Saccharomyces cerevisiae S288C: one gene and its partners. Changing the gene in region 2 together with the main gene of any one other region gives a genetic interaction. Each region holds a gene or a part of one and is shown on either strand. Other genes may lie near its edges.

Region 1 (4,794 bases), on a different chromosome or scaffold from region 2:
TTTCCATTGGGTACTTTCTTGGCAAACGTTTTCGCCACTTTATTGATTGGCATATTTACCATGGTGCAACGTGGTAAAAAACACTTTTCTACGGACGTTCCAATTGTGAACTCGTTGAATTCATGTCATATTGTTTCTGCGTTAATATCCGGATTTTGCGGCACTTTGAGTACCATTAGCACGTTTATCAATGAAGGGTATAAGCTATCATTTATTAACATGCTTATTTATTATACTGTTTCGATTGCAATTTCATATTGCTTATTGGTGATAACTCTCGGATCCTATGCTTGGACTAGAGGATTGACCAACCCGATTTGTTAGGATCTTTTCTTTATACTTTTCCCTGCATAATCATCCCACTTTTTTTTTTTTTTTTTTTAATTCATTTTCAAGATTTTAGACGTTGTATAATACATTTTTACCCACTACTGCGGTTTATTGTAATATTTTGTGAGATTTTATGAATGCGTTCCATCATCTATTTACTACAAAACGATAAATTTCCCCGTTTTCTTTTACTTTTACTTCATTTAATATAATTCATATTTATTTCCCATGTACCAATTAATTACTCATAAAAAGAACAGAAATAGAAAAAAGTTGTATATAACAAGCCAAAAAAAAGAAAAAAAAAGGAAAAAAAAGAAAACACAGCTTATTTCAAATTGCAATCTGCGTATTTCGTAAGTAACGAATGATCTCACAGCATTGCTTTTTTTTTTTTTTATATATATATGTACATTACCTATGTCACATATGACCATGATGAATACAACACTAAAAACCAAGGCCTACTATTCAATTGTTCTCTATATGATTTCCATTCTAGCAAAATCGAGTGCTACCGACCTGCCGTTTTCTTTACCTTTCGAACCATTGAGCTGTTAGCCTTCTCTTCACAGAAACTGAAAGTCATTAAAAGCCTCCCCTTCAACAATTCCCTTGTCTTTTGTTTCAGCTATATAATGCGTTTATAGCTCTAATTGTGGTCGAATAGGAAGAATTTGCGTTAACACCCGTAACTAGCTTTCCATCTGTAATAGAGTAGTCATCCCAGGGATGGATTGGCGCCAAGTACTTGGCTCCATTCTTGTTTGCAACGCGTTCAACCGTTGTCAATTTTCTGCTCCTCAAGATGTCGTCAACTCCCAGGGCGATTTCACCCTCGAGTGGGAAACCTGTTATAGCTTTGCCTTCGATTAATGGTCTTGTTGTTTTGATATCTATTAATCCATCGAAAAGGAGCGGTCCATGACAGATGGCAGCGATCACACCCCCATTGGCATATATCTTGGATGCAATATCTTGCAGATTTTTAGCTTTGGGATAGTCAAATAGAGCACCATGTCCAGCAGATGCAAAGAATACTTTATAGTCGCTGGCGTTGACTTCATTTGCGGTCTTGATCCTCGCTAACGCCTTATTGAAGGCGGAATTTTTCGTTTCAAAGTTCATCTTATCTTCGCCACCAATAAAGCTCTTTGGCAAGTAATGTTCATCCCAGCCAAATCCACCAGTCTCAGAAACGAAGTCCACTTCGAAACCATGCTTTTCGAATGTATCGAACGATCGCAAAATCTCAACTACAAAAACGCCTGTTTTCGCACCATCTTTGTAGAAGGGACCGTGGTATGAAGTAAGAGATATTAGCGCTCTTTTTGGAGTCATTGCAAGGCCAGTTTTCTTTTTGAATGAAGGAGAAAAGTGTTCTAGAAATATGTTTTAGTTCTAAGTATCGTTGTCTGGAGCAAGCAAAGAAAAGCAGACCTGTATGTGCAACTTTCCTGTTTTCCATTAAAATCTCAAGAACCGACCCCTTGACTGTGCTCATATATCAAGTATCGGTTTTAAAGTCCCCTAATTGTGATAATTGCAAGAACGACAGTCAGAAAGATATTTTTTTTTTTCTTTCTCTTTACCTATCCTCCATAAAAATACCTATGCTGATACTGAATATCTTCATTTGCAGCTATGCAATATTTCAGATACCCCATTTTACCCAAGAGTTTCTTACTGGTGGTTGGATTTTCTTTAAGACGAGAAGATTACCAGTCCTGGATGTTCGTGAATGTGCCTATTGCGTCATCAGCGACTCCGCGCCAAGAAAAGAAATACTCGCATGCTCGGATTTATAGAATCGCATAATGGAAATACCTTCCTTAAAGGATGGAGATAAGGAAAAAATGACAAGAACAAGGAAGTACTTGGGAGCTTTCTCCGACATGGTAAATATTTGAAACTCACGCAGCTCTCCTGGAAAGTTGGATCTGGAAAGGTAAGGTTGTTTTTTTTACAGACATCAACCAAAATCGGTTCTTGTAGTAGACAATGTCACAGATCGCCACAAGTTGAAAAAAAAGTTTCGATGAACTGGATAAGGGGAGAGGTCACAAACAAAGTGTAGGGGGTGAGTAGTATAGTGGTAACTTGTTCATTTACCTAAATAACATTCTCACTAGAAAAGAGATATTGAAAGACTCCTCGTTTACCTAACTTGGCTGGTTCTTAGGTATATAATAGAAACATGGATCTGGCAGGTTATCACTTACAGTTTGCACTCCCACCAGGTTACAATTTTCATTATATATAGTTATTTTTTACCACCACTTCTTCTTCTTTCACTTTGTCTTGCAATAGAAATACCAAAACAAGGTGAGGAAAAAATCGAATCTCAACGATAAAAATATGTCCATCACGAAGGTACATGCTAGAACGGTGTATGATTCTCGCGGCAATCCGACTGTTGAGGTTGAAATTACAACAGAGAATGGTCTCTTCAGAGCGATCGTCCCATCTGGTGCCTCCACCGGCATTCACGAAGCTGTTGAACTTAGAGACGGGAACAAGTCCGAATGGATGGGAAAAGGGGTGACCAAGGCAGTCAGTAACGTCAATAGTATCATAGGGCCTGCTTTAATCAAGTCCGAATTATGTGTAACCAATCAGAAGGGCATAGACGAGCTCATGATATCGTTAGACGGAACTTCTAACAAGTCAAGGTTGGGCGCCAATGCTATCCTTGGTGTTTCCTTGTGCGTTGCTCGAGCTGCTGCCGCACAAAAGGGAATTACTCTCTACAAGTATATAGCCGAGTTAGCGGATGCTAGACAGGACCCCTTTGTTATTCCTGTTCCTTTTTTCAATGTTTTGAATGGTGGAGCCCACGCCGGTGGCTCTTTAGCTATGCAAGAATTCAAGATCGCGCCAGTCGGGGCTCAGAGCTTTGCAGAAGCCATGAGGATGGGTTCGGAAGTTTACCATCATTTGAAGATATTGGCGAAGGAGCAATATGGACCTTCCGCTGGAAATGTTGGTGACGAGGGTGGAGTTGCCCCCGATATTGACACTGCCGAAGACGCCTTGGACATGATTGTGGAAGCCATTAACATATGCGGTTACGAGGGTAGAGTGAAAGTAGGAATCGATAGTGCTCCTTCTGTTTTTTATAAGGACGGGAAATACGACCTAAATTTCAAGGAACCGAACTCTGACCCATCTCACTGGCTCAGTCCAGCCCAGTTAGCAGAATATTACCATTCATTGCTAAAGAAATACCCAATCATTTCCCTGGAAGATCCCTACGCCGAAGATGATTGGTCCTCGTGGTCTGCCTTCCTAAAGACTGTCAATGTTCAGATTATTGCAGATGACCTGACATGCACCAACAAGACCAGGATCGCCCGTGCTATAGAGGAGAAATGTGCGAATACTCTGTTGCTGAAACTCAACCAGATCGGTACTCTGACTGAGTCTATTGAAGCCGCCAATCAGGCTTTCGATGCTGGATGGGGTGTAATGATATCGCATAGATCAGGTGAAACCGAAGATCCGTTTATCGCTGATTTGGTCGTTGGTTTAAGATGTGGTCAAATTAAATCGGGCGCTTTGTCGAGATCAGAAAGACTGGCCAAGTATAATGAACTTTTGCGTATCGAAGAGGAACTGGGGGACGATTGTATATATGCTGGTCATAGGTTTCATGATGGAAACAAACTATAAAGGATTGTCTTGTTTCCTTTTTTTTTTTTTTTTTTTTGTTTTTTTATGACTAAATAAAGTAAATCATATGAGGTTTTATTTTTTATTTCGTTGATTTGGGTTACAGTATGGAAATGGGGCATTTGACACAAGTTATTTTATTCATATGTTTTATCTTGTAGGAAATCAAACCGTTTTTAAAGTTTTCCATTGCCTACACACAAAATCATTACGAATCTGTCTGAACAAGGGTGGACGTGTGGGGGAAGGCTGTTCCAATCAAGAAATGCTTACAACTCTACTAACACTGCAGTTTTTCAGCTTTCTGATTAATCTCTTCGGTTTAAATTTTTTAGCAGCTATTACTTTCTAGTAACCCTTATAACGCGGTTGGTATCAAATCTTCCTGATAGTACAAGCAGACCTTTGACCCCATTCTTGTTGTGTCTTGAAATCTTTTTTTCTGACAAAAGTAAGAAGTTACACCATAATAGAGAAGTTAAATAATGAAAGTGTATCGATCATAGAAATGATTTTATTTTTTTCAACTACTGTTACGGTCAAGAAACTAATACTGAGGATAAGTTTTCGCAACAATGATTTTGGTACAAGTGATTTAAAGTCTTGAATTACTTCAACACAATTTGCTTTGCGACGGTTTAGAATAACGTAATCGTATCAACGAATCCACTAGGCGCGCGTAAAAATTACAGACTCTAACAATATACGACTCCCAGCACATACCTACTATTCTGTACAATTCCGGGAAATAGGAGGGTACAGTATTATTTTTTCTCGGCGATCGTTTAGGGT
Region 2 (6,305 bases):
AATGTTATCATAGACCAATTGGCCGTTTCACCCGAACAAATAGATGCTAGTCCAGATTCACTAGAAGCATTAATAGATCTTTGCCATGACTTCCCGCACTTAACACCGAAATTACAAACTCAACTAAGCTATTTGATAAGTTCATCTCTGTCGAATCTGTCAAAAGATATTAAGGCTAATCTCTCATCAAATGTTAACTTTACTGAAATTGGTGGCCTGATACCGCAGTGGAAAAGGCATTTAGAAGAGTATGGCTACCTTATTCAGGTACTTTTGACGTTTTTACAAGATGAGTTACATAAGGTCTCCTCGCAGTCTACCAATCTAAACCGTTCTGCCAAAAACAGTAAGAATGATAGTGCAAACGTCGAGCTGTTTAAAAGAGACTGTAATCAAATGGAAAACTTGCTTGAATCTATAACAAAGCTACTGGAGATTAACTTATCTAAGATATTTCAGACAACTCCTGAAAAGGATTTGTTTATTGGTTTGTTCACAAGACCATTATTTGTGTTATTAGAGATTGAACCTGTGACGAAGGTATCATCACTAAAGATGTTTATTCAAAGGATTTTGGCTATGTGTGTTAAAAATCACGGTCAAAGTTCAAGTATACAAAGTTCATTGATGACAAATTTAACTTATTTTCTTCATTTGTCGGTTTTTAATGCAGAATTACTAAAACTATTGAATGATGAATATAACTATCCACAACTAACAGAAGATATCTTGAAAGAAATCAGCACCAGGGTATTTAACGCAAAGGATACCACAGGCCCAAAGGCAATATCAAATTTTTTGATTAAATTATCAGAGCTATCACCAGGAATAATGCTTCGACAGATGAATCTTGTCATCACCTTACTCAACAATAGTTCTATAACATTGAGATGTTCCGTTGTAGAAGCATGTGGAAATATTGTGGCTGAATTGGCTCAAGACCCACAAACTATGGAACATTATAAACAACAAATAGCCGTACTTATTGAGTTACTAGAAGAAAGATTCCAGGATTCAAATCCCTACGTTAGAACGAAGGCGATACAAGGGTGTTCAAAGATCTGCGATTTGAGTTCGAAATTTAACAAAAGCAAAGCTAAATTTACTTCGTTGGCAGTACGATCATTGCAGGACCGCTCCTCTTTAGTTCGTAGGAACTCAGTAAAGTTACTTTCAAAATTATTGCTAAAACATCCTTTTAAGGCCATACATGGTAGCCAATTGAGGCTGAGTGAATGGGAAGAATATCTCAAAGGATCTGAATCACAGCTAAATTCCACTTTAAAGAAAGTAGAGTCACAAGAAACTCTGAATGACACGATTGAAAGGTCTTTGATTGAAGAAGAGGTAGAACAAGATGAAGGTCAATGTAGGACCGAGTTAGAAGGTTCTTTCAATAAGAGCGCAGAACTTTCTAGAATAGAAAATGAGGTAGAGAATATAAATGCAACAAATACCAGTGTTCTCATGAAGCTAAAGTTAATGATTGTTTACTATAAAGATGCCATTAGTTTCATTAAAGAGATACACAAGAGTATTGAATTGATATCTAATTTGCTGTTTTCTAAGAACAGAAACGAAGTTTTAGAATCAATGGACTTCCTAGTTTTAGCAGACGCTTTTGACATTGAGTTAAGCGAATTTGGTATAAAAAAAATGCTGCATTTGGTTTGGATGAAGGGCACAAACGATGAAGGAACGAGTATATCAGTACATTTGATAGAATGTTATAAGCAGCTATTTTTAACCGCGCCAGATAGTTGCAATATGCAGGAGAAGGCGGCACATATTGCCAAAAATTTAATTAATCTAAGCATCGGCGCATCTATTGCAGACTTGGCCTCTTTGGAACAGCTATTAGGAATGATGTATGAACAAAAATTGATTGATCAACATGTCATTAATATCCTTTGGGCTATTTACAATTCTGCATCGAAGGCCAGTATGCAGAAAGAACAAAATGTGAACAACCGTGACTCCGAAAAAGGGTTTTCTAAGGAACAAATTCATGGTTCTATTATTATTTTAGGAATGTTATCGTTAGCCGATAACGAAATAGCATTAAAAGGACTGGAGTCACTTTTAAACATTGGACTTGGTGCCGTTGGTTTAAAAGATCTGACCCTTTGTCGGTATTCTTGTTTAGCGTTAGAGAGAATGGTTCCCAAGAGAAGCACTATTATTACCAAGGCAATAAATCAAGAGCTTGAAGATGTTGCAGTGAAAAAGTTGTATGCCATAATTATCAACTATACCAAGGATAATGAATATTATCCTATGTGCGAACAAGCGCTTAGTGCACTGTTTACAATCTCTTCTAAGCCCGATATACTAGCTACAGATCTGATTAGAGAAAAGACAATGATGACATTTGGTAAACCTGAAGAGGAAGACTCTATTTTGTCGTTAGAACAATCATCTAGAGTTGTTTCTCTCAGTCAATTATTATTCATTGTAGGACAAGTGGCAATTAAAACACTTGTCTATCTAGAGAAATGTGAGGCAGAATTCAAGAAAAGAAAGATCGAGGCAGAAACTCGGAACGGTAAAGTAAAAAACCAAGGTGCAGATGTAACTAACACCACACAAGATAACGGTGGTGATAAAGAGCTAGAAATGATAGGAGGTACTAATGAGGACGATTTCACGGATGCTATTCAATTTGTAAAAGAGAATGAATTACTATTTGGAGAAAAATCTATATTAGGGAAGTTTTGCCCAATTGTAGAAGAGATTGTTTCTAATTCAAGCAGGTTTAGCGATCCAATGCTTCAAAGAACGGCAACCTTATGTCTAGAAAAACTAATGTGTTTATCATCAAAATATTGTGAAAAGAGCCTGCCGCTATTAATCACAGTAATGGAAAAATCTCCTGATCCTACTATTCGCTCAAATGCTGTCTTAGGACTAGGTGACATGGCAGTATGCTTCAACAACTTAGTAGACGAAAACACAGATTATTTGTATCGCCGTTTGCATGATGAAAACTTAATGGTACAAAGAACATGTTTAATGACAGTTACCTTCTTGATTTTAGCTGGACAGGTTAAGGTTAAAGGACAATTAGGAGAAATGGCCAAATGCCTAGACAATCCAGACCAGGGAATAAGTGATATGTGCAGATTATTTTTCACCGAGTTAGCATCCAAGGACAACGCCATTTATAATGGATTCATCGATATCTTTAGTAATTTATCGTCAGATGATTTATTGGGTAAGGAGAGTTTCAAGAAAATCATCAAATTTCTGTTAACTTTTATCGATAAGGAACGGCACCAAAAGCAATTAAACGAGAAATTAGTTGGAAGACTGAGAAAGTGCGAGACCCAAAAGCAATGGGATGATATTGCATTCGTACTAAACAATCTACCATACAAAAATGAAGACGTCACTGCATTATTGGAGCAAGGTTTCAAGGTTGTATCCGCAAAAGAATAATCGAACTGACGTTTACCCGTTTCTTCCGTTTTATATTATATGTTATTATATAAATAAAAGCTGTTCATTTCTTTCTTCTTGAAATATGACTTTACCTATCTCGATAAAATTCATTTGTGGTCGTCTTCATTCACTCCTGGGCAATGCTCGTAGAGATCACCTTCATCCTTATACTTGATTCCGCAAAAAAAACAGTAGTACTTCTCGGACCTCAGGAATATATTCAATTTTGTTATTCTTTTTTCAATGCTCAATTCTTCTAATTCAGCAAGTTCTGTGTCTTTTGTAATGCGACTACCGATAATTGAAGTATCACAATCTATTAATGTAGAAGGACGTCCAAACTTTTCACCTTTTATTGCAGGCGAAGCCTCCAAACTTTCATTTACCATTGGTATCATATTATTCTTATCTTCATTATCATTGTTACTGTGATTATTTAGGTCATTTTTTGCTACTTCCTCATTTAGTTGCATAACGTAAGATCTCCAAAGTACGTTAAAGTCTCTCGGATCTTCGCCTGGATTGTATAAATCGGAATCACCCATCATTTCAAAAGCAACTTTTTGGATCCTATACCAAATTTTTTTTAACCGCTTATTATTTTTCATTTCACTTTCTCTTTTTATAAATCGTTGTTCACTCATCTGCATGTCATTCATTGTTGATGGGTCGGGCTTTTCTGCACGAATTCCCCTCCTTTTTGTATTGATTTCTACCTTAATAGGCTCTTTTAGGGCACTTTCATTACTACCTAATGTTTCTCCTTCTTTGTAACCCATGTTTTCCATCATTTTATAACCCCTGGGCATGATTGAACGTAGTGATGTGCGTGCAGTTTCGTCATTTGTTGAATCTCTTTTTGACTTCTTCTGAGGCGGTGTATTCTTCAAATCTATGCGATCCTCTTTTCTTTTTGTCTTACTCTCCTCCATTTTATGCCCTCCCTGAAAGTGATGGTAGATGTGTAGCGTACCTCTTATTGTCCGTCCTCTTATTCTGTAATTCTTAAATTAAATTCAATCCAGTAAATATTACAATTGAATTGATACCTAATTTTTTCTATTGACTATATTTCAGAGTCAACGTGATCGTTCTAACTTTCATTATCGATTATAGATATTATTCTCAGCAGTGGAAATCTTTTTATCTCAACTCGTCACCACACAAAAAAATGGAGACAGGATCCGGAAGACTCAGGAGGATAGAGCAACGTTATTGAACAGTGTTTTTAATTGTTTCATTCTTAGTCTTTAATTTATTTACTTTAAACCGACGGTTATATAGTACGTATTCTATTATTTTTTAATCACAAAATCTCAAATAGGCATGCCTTATGTTGTTGTGAAACTAAGGTATATAAAACAAACAACTTTCAAAAAAAGAAAATGAGAGTAGGAAAAAGGTGGATGATGTGAGAATTTTAACAACCTTTATTTAAAACCGTTCACAATCTTGGGTATTTTTGGGATACCATCTCTTTCCAATTGTTTAGTGAGTTCTTCTTCCAGACCCCTTTTCCACAAATCATGATTTTCACCAATAGCGTAGGTGATTGTCTTGTTCATGTAGCCTTCTGGTCCTAGATAATTTAACATTTCAATGATGTCTTCCAACAAGATGGCCTTGCCCGCGGCAATACTATTACCTAAACCGGGATGCTTTATGTTAACGATGTGAATGTGGAAATGATAATAAGAAGGTTGGTAGTGAACCAAAATTCTCAACTCATCCGGATGGACAGCATAGTTGTAACAACCAGGAACAATGGATCTAATCTTGTTGTTCAAGTTGATTAACCACTGTCTGTCAGAATATCTTAAATCCCTTATTGTCTTGATATCGGTCCTGTAGACGATCGCAACTAGATATAAAGAGTCTAAGTTCATGCCATCCCATTTCATATCAGGTAAAATTAGGAAGCCGTCGTCCTTATTCTCCTCAGAAAAATCTTTATAAACGACCCTTTCTGACTCAGCGCCTTCATAAAGAATGTTGTTTACCCATTTAAGTCTACCGTTATTACACATTTCTTCGATGTAAGGCTGAACAATTCTCTTGTACATCTCAGGAGTCTCTCTGACTAAATGAAAGTTTTGTTGTTCATATTTCTTGATATGAATTGGAGTAGCAGGCCAAATTAAATTCAACTTGGCGGTAGGGTTCGACTCCATATCCTGCTTTATCACTGACAAACCCCAGTAGTAAATATCATTGGAAGTAATCTCCTTTAATTCCTGAATTCCGTTGATGCAAGAATATTCGTTTTCACAATTATATAAAACTGGAGTGGAGCGGCCATCTTGAGAGGGTCTTCTCACGGTTTCGTCAAATAGAAAGTGCGTCTTTTCAGCCGTGATAATAGCATCCTTGTTGTCAATGGTTCCCAATAAGGACATAACTTTGGTTTGAGGGTTGGAATCGAGGACACTAACAAATTGGAATCTCTTGATCAATGAAGCAAAATCTGTTGGCAGTTGAGACATGGTATATGCTAATTTTGTCGTTTCGCTTTCTTTTTTTTTCCAGGAATTATAACTTAATACTATGTGATTATTTAGTTAATACACAGACAGTTAATAGAGTAGTGATGGCAATTCGATCATCCAAAAGAGTTGGAAAGCCTCTTTTCCTTCGATATATAGTGATGATATCCTTGAAAAGACTCCCTAAAAAGTGCAGGTGCGGCGGGTCACCTGCCAGCTTGCCTGAAAAATACGTAATTATGTCAAATAAATTGCCATACTATACTAATACTGAACTAGACTATGTTATACACTTGGACCAAATTGATCGGGATTTGTGATGTGGGATGATGGGGTGACGTCTATTTGAGGAAGATCCACCAGAAGAGAAAGACGAAAAAG
Region 3 (5,157 bases), on a different chromosome or scaffold from region 2:
TGTTCTAAAATCTATCTAAACTGGCTTTCAAGATCAATCTATTGTCTTTTAAGGTAAACTTTAAATTGGAAATAATAGTAATGTTAGTTCCTTCATTTTAACCTTGTATTGTATTTCCTTTGCGTGATGAAAAAAAAACTGAAAAAGAGAAAAATAAGAAAATCTTCTAGAACGTTCCGAAACAGGACACTTAGCACACAAATACAGAATAGGAAAGTAAAAGGCAATATATGAATGCAGTGCTTGTAACTGGTGCTTGTATCCAAGAATAGCTTCTTGCTGTAGGTTATGGGAATATCGTGTAAGCTGGGGTGACTTTTGAGCTATTCGCGACGCCCGACGCCGTAATAACTACTTTCGACAGACCACTTATGACAGTATTTCAGGCCGCTCTTATAAAATGACATGTTAACAAACAGTTCTGATTATTCGCCTTTTGACAGGACGATAATGTAAATAGTTGTGGTAGTATCATTCAGGTATGTAACTGTTTACTTTGTATCGCTTGAAAAAAATAAGCATTTCAGAGCCTTCTTTGGAGCTCAAGTGGATTGAGGCCACAGCAAGACCGGCCAGTTTGAATGCTCAACTCTTCAAAAGAAATTCCTCAAATATGTCCAGTTTCATGTACTGTCCGGTGTGATTTATTATTTTTTATTTACTTTGTAGTTCTTAAAGCTAAGATTTTTTTCTTTGATAAATTCTTGTTTTCATATCCTAAAATTAAAGGGAAAATAAACAATACATAACAAAACATATAAAAACCAACACAATAAAAAAAAGGATCAAATACTCATTAAAGTAACTTACACGGGGGCTAAAAACGGAGTTTGATGAATATTCACAAGATAAAAATCATATGTATGTTTCTGATATATCGATATACAATCAAACACTTTCAAGAATTTGTTTGTAGACTTTTTGCTAGAGACCTCATCAAAGTGCTACCAACTAAGATCAACTTATACTTCTTTTAGAGAAAATTTTTTTCAATGTACTCCAAAGAGATTTAGATCCTGTCTCTTCCTCTTCCTCTTCCTCGAAAGTCAAAGAAAAATCAGAGTCTCCCTGCTTATTCAGGCGGAGAGGCTCTAGGGTAGTTGCGTTTCTCTCATTGGGACACTGAACCTCATTTTCCAACATTTTGGTCATGTAAGAGGCGACAGGCTCATCGCAGGTGGGTGCATCAACATGGTAGTACCTGGACCAAGCGCTACATTGAGTCCCTCCTGGATAAACACCGCTACAATATTGTCTTTGGACGTTTGCCCAAACCATATCTTTTGAATACCAAAGCTGGACCACATTGTATGGCCTAATCATTGGTGCTACCATAATACTGGATTGGGAAACAGTCTGGTTAATTTTTTTCAACCAATTTTTCTTATCTAGCAATGATTTAATAAACCTGAAATCTAAATTGTCTTCGTTAGCGTCTGTGTCATAATCTACAATTGAGTACTGTGACGTCCAATTATATGGCACCGAGATGGGGAATCTGTCCGGTGTTTCGTCGCTGTTATCCTTCTCCTCCCTCCAAATGCAGTCAGAGGCAGGTGCCCATTCGGTTCGCCAGTCTCCGTTATTTACTACTTGGTACTGTTCCCAATCGTAATACGTTTCCTCTGGGTTGAAGATACTTGCTCTGCTCTTGACATTGCCCATAGCCACACCACGAGAAACATCGTGGAAGATTACGGAGCTGTTTACGATAGCAGGAGCAATGGATTTGACGAATGACACTTGATAAAAGTCTTTGGTCGAAAATACAGTATCAACGCCGTCGTGGGACTCGACCCCTGGTAGAAGAAGCAGAGCATCTAGATCAACGGTAGATGCTGCAGAGGTCAAAGCCACAAAGAGGGAAGATGCAGTTACGAGGTATTTACTAAACATTGGTTCGAAGTGATTACAGATTTTTCTCTCTTGAACCCTGGAATTGCAATAGCTTGGTTCCTATTGGGACCGGACCCTCTTGCGTAAAGTATATATTTAGAAGCAGCTATTTAAATCTGAATGCAAGACGAAAAAAAGCTCGTTTATAGGAGAAAAATACCAAAAAAAGGAAAACCATACACATTCGGGTATCCCAGCTTTGCTTGCAAAATCAATCGATGAGCAAGACAAACAGGGCCAGCTGATGCATATGTTTTGTGTTGCTTTCCTACGATCAGCTAATGCGAGTGTTATAAATATTCCCCTAGTTTTCTTCTCCTCCTTTATGTAACAATAACTTGTGGACTTCCCCAACATAAGACTAAAAGCAAAGGGATAACAAGGGATTTATCTTATTCCATCCCTTTGCCTAGCGCACTGTTACGCAGCTGATCTTATCAACAAGTGTGGTTCTTGCCTCTAAGATTTACATTGCCTTTTCCCAAAGGGAAGGTGGGACAAAACTCATTTTCCCTAAGGGGAAACGTAAGATACCCTTTAGGGAAGATAAGGGAAGTTAGTAGATTGACGACGTAAATCTGTGATGAGATGAAAAAAAAAGATTAGCATCTATATAAGAAAGTACATAACCTCCATTTAAGTTGAAAAAAATTTGTATGTAATGTCTTTTCTTCCTCTTTTCTTTATTTCATTCTCACCGCTAAATCGATAACGGCTAAAACAATTAAAGCTCCCTTTTCAAACCTTATACTTCCGTTAAATAATGCAAATCAAAAACATTGTCGCTGTTCTAGCTACAGTCACTGCTATCAACGCCCAAGTTGGCATTGAACCTAACGCCACTACTCCAAATGCTACGCAGCCAAATGCTACGCAGCCAAATACTACTCTTCCTACCGCTTCGGTGACTACGACAGTTTCGATTGGCGAAGCCGTAGTTAATACCATGGCGGCGGGTGCCTTTGGAGCAGCAATCGCTGCCGGTGTTGCCTTCTTATTCTAGGAACATTTTTATTTCCTTTATTTTTTTCTTTCTTTCTAATTCCATAACCGTTGTTCAAAATTGGGGAGCTTTTTAACTTTCGTTCCATTAAGCTTTTTCTTTGTTCTTTACGTTTGATTCTATTTCAACCATAATTTATTTTTTCGTTATTTAATAATTACTAATATTTAATACTAGATGTATATACGTTGTGTGTATGCGCTACTATAGTATAGCTTAACTGTTTTATTATACCCTTTTTTTCTCTCTTTACTGTACAGAAGATGCGTCACTAATTCAAAAAAAAAAAAAAAAAAAAAAATATAAAAAAGAAAGATTTTGGAGAAGCTATATCCTTTTGTGACATACAATAGAGAAACTTGTTCTGTTGGTAAGATATCTCATCTGAAATACAACAAGGAAAACCAAAAGCCATTTTTTCATTACTTGATCGACTTATGAACCGTATTACTAGGAAAAGTTGTTTATTCGCGATTATATTTGCATCATTATTTGTGACACATGCATTGGGTGCCGCTATTGATCCGCCAAGGCGACCACATAATGTGAAGCCTTTTCATAACGGTAATCTCGAACTTCAAAGAAGAGCAAATGAACCGTTTTTTGAAATAGATGTCAAGAGTCTGAACACAAACTCACCGATATCAGAGTTGTGTAAAAAAGATTTGCACGTCATTGAATCGTCTCATGATCTTTTTCATTTACAAAACCAATGTGAATTCATCTTGGGGTCATTAAAAGTCACAAACTATGATTCTAACATTTTGGATTTGAACAGCTTGAGGGCCATTGGTGGTGACCTGATTATTCAGGATTCACCTGAACTGATCAGAATCCAAGCCGGGAACTTGAATAAAATCGAAGGGCTCTTCCAATTACAGGGACTAACCTCTTTGGTTTCTGTTGAAATTCCAACTTTGAAATTTTGTCAGTCACTGGAGTGGAAAGTTGTTCCCATCTTGAACTACGTCTCCATGGATTCTCAGAATATTGAGATTATAAAGGATATTGTCATATCGGATACTTCATTAGCAAACATCGAGAATTTCAACAAGGTTCAGGAAATTGATACTTTCAATATCAATAATAACAGATTTTTAGAAACTATTCATTCGAACGTTAAAACCATTAGGGGACAATTCAGTGTACATGCGAACGCTAAGGAGCTAGAACTTGAAATGCCACACTTGAGAGAAGTGGAAAACATAACGATTAGGGACACATCATTGGTCTACCTTCCACAATTAACAAAAGTGAAAAGCTCTTTAGAGTTCATCGAAAATTACTTTTACGAATTGAACCTGAACAATTTGCAGAAGATTGGTGGAACATTAGGAATTATCAACAATGTAAATTTAATAAAAGTTAATTTGGAGAACTTAACAGACATTCAAGGTGGCTTGATGATCGCCGATAACGAATCCCTCGAGGATATTACTTTCCTGCCAAACTTGAAGCAGATTGGAGGTGCTATTTTCTTTGAAGGTTCGTTCAAAGATATCATGTTCGATAGCTTGAAACTGGTGAAAGGTAGCGCTTTTATTAAGAGTTCATCAAACGTGTTGGATTGCAATAAATGGACAAACCCATCAAATGGAAGATCAATCATCAGGGGTGGGAAATTCACTTGTATTTCTGGTAAGAAGGAAAATACGCTGAATGTTAAACAGGATGGTACAATCATAGAAAAAGGGTACAAAGATTTAACGCAAGAAGGTGAAGACTCCAAGAAAAGAGTGATTTCAAAATACGCGAACTCAGCAAATCCAAGCATGCAATTGGACCCCCTTCTTTTTGGTACATGCCTTGTTGCTATGTTATTGTTTTAAGATTACTAGTCTAGTATAACAGAAAGTTTTTTTTGTTCCTAATATTATCTTTATCTATATACATATATCTCCATGAAAGGCATTTGAATTTCTATCTTTCTCTTTCAATCAAATATTGTCTTATTATTGATCAAATAATCGTATATGCACAATGGCAACTCGTCTTTCAAACTCTCCACTTGCCCATTCTTCAGTTTGTTCCTAATCTCGGATGATGAAACATTTCTTAATGCTGGATAATCATTTTGCATAACATGAATCCTAGCGCCCCATTCTCTTGGTATTACCGGTTCGAATTTTCCCTCAAGGATGTCACTGGCGTATCTTAGTTGCGATTCAGCACTGAGATGGCAATCGCCTCTCGCCAAGCAATATAATTGAGATCCCGACATGAAGCTCTCCATTACATCACTGATTTTTAAAGGATGA

The links. A genetic interaction does not mean that the proteins touch.
Region 1: mutations in CMG1 (region 2) and HSP33 together harm fitness more than expected from each alone (negative genetic interaction), as found in Saccharomyces cerevisiae (one large-scale study listed by BioGRID).
Region 3: mutations in CMG1 (region 2) and YCL049C together harm fitness more than expected from each alone (negative genetic interaction), as found in Saccharomyces cerevisiae (one large-scale study listed by BioGRID).

What each region holds. Positions count from the first base shown.
Region 1 is NC_001147.6:1,077,588-1,082,381, forward strand, and holds HSP33 (glutathione-independent methylglyoxalase family protein), read right to left. Parts: upstream 1,672-4,794; coding exon 958-1,671; downstream 1-957. Other genes in the region: FEX1 (fluoride transporter), read left to right, coding at 1-324; phosphopyruvate hydratase ERR1, read left to right, coding at 2,689-4,002.
Region 2 is NC_001144.5:680,805-687,109, reverse strand, and holds CMG1 (Cmg1p), read right to left. Parts: upstream 4,374-6,305; coding exon 3,549-4,373; downstream 1-3,548. Other genes in the region: condensin subunit YCS4, read left to right, coding at 1-3,438; DCS1 (5'-(N(7)-methyl 5'-triphosphoguanosine)-(mRNA) diphosphatase), read right to left, coding at 4,872-5,924; SNAP receptor SEC22, read right to left, coding at 6,266-6,305.
Region 3 is NC_001135.5:38,829-43,985, forward strand, and holds YCL049C (uncharacterized protein), read right to left. Parts: upstream 1,897-5,157; coding exon 958-1,896; downstream 1-957. Other genes in the region: YCL048W-A (uncharacterized protein), read left to right, coding at 2,660-2,899; SPS22 (Sps22p), read left to right, coding at 3,337-4,728; POF1 (nicotinamide-nucleotide adenylyltransferase), read right to left, coding at 4,833-5,157.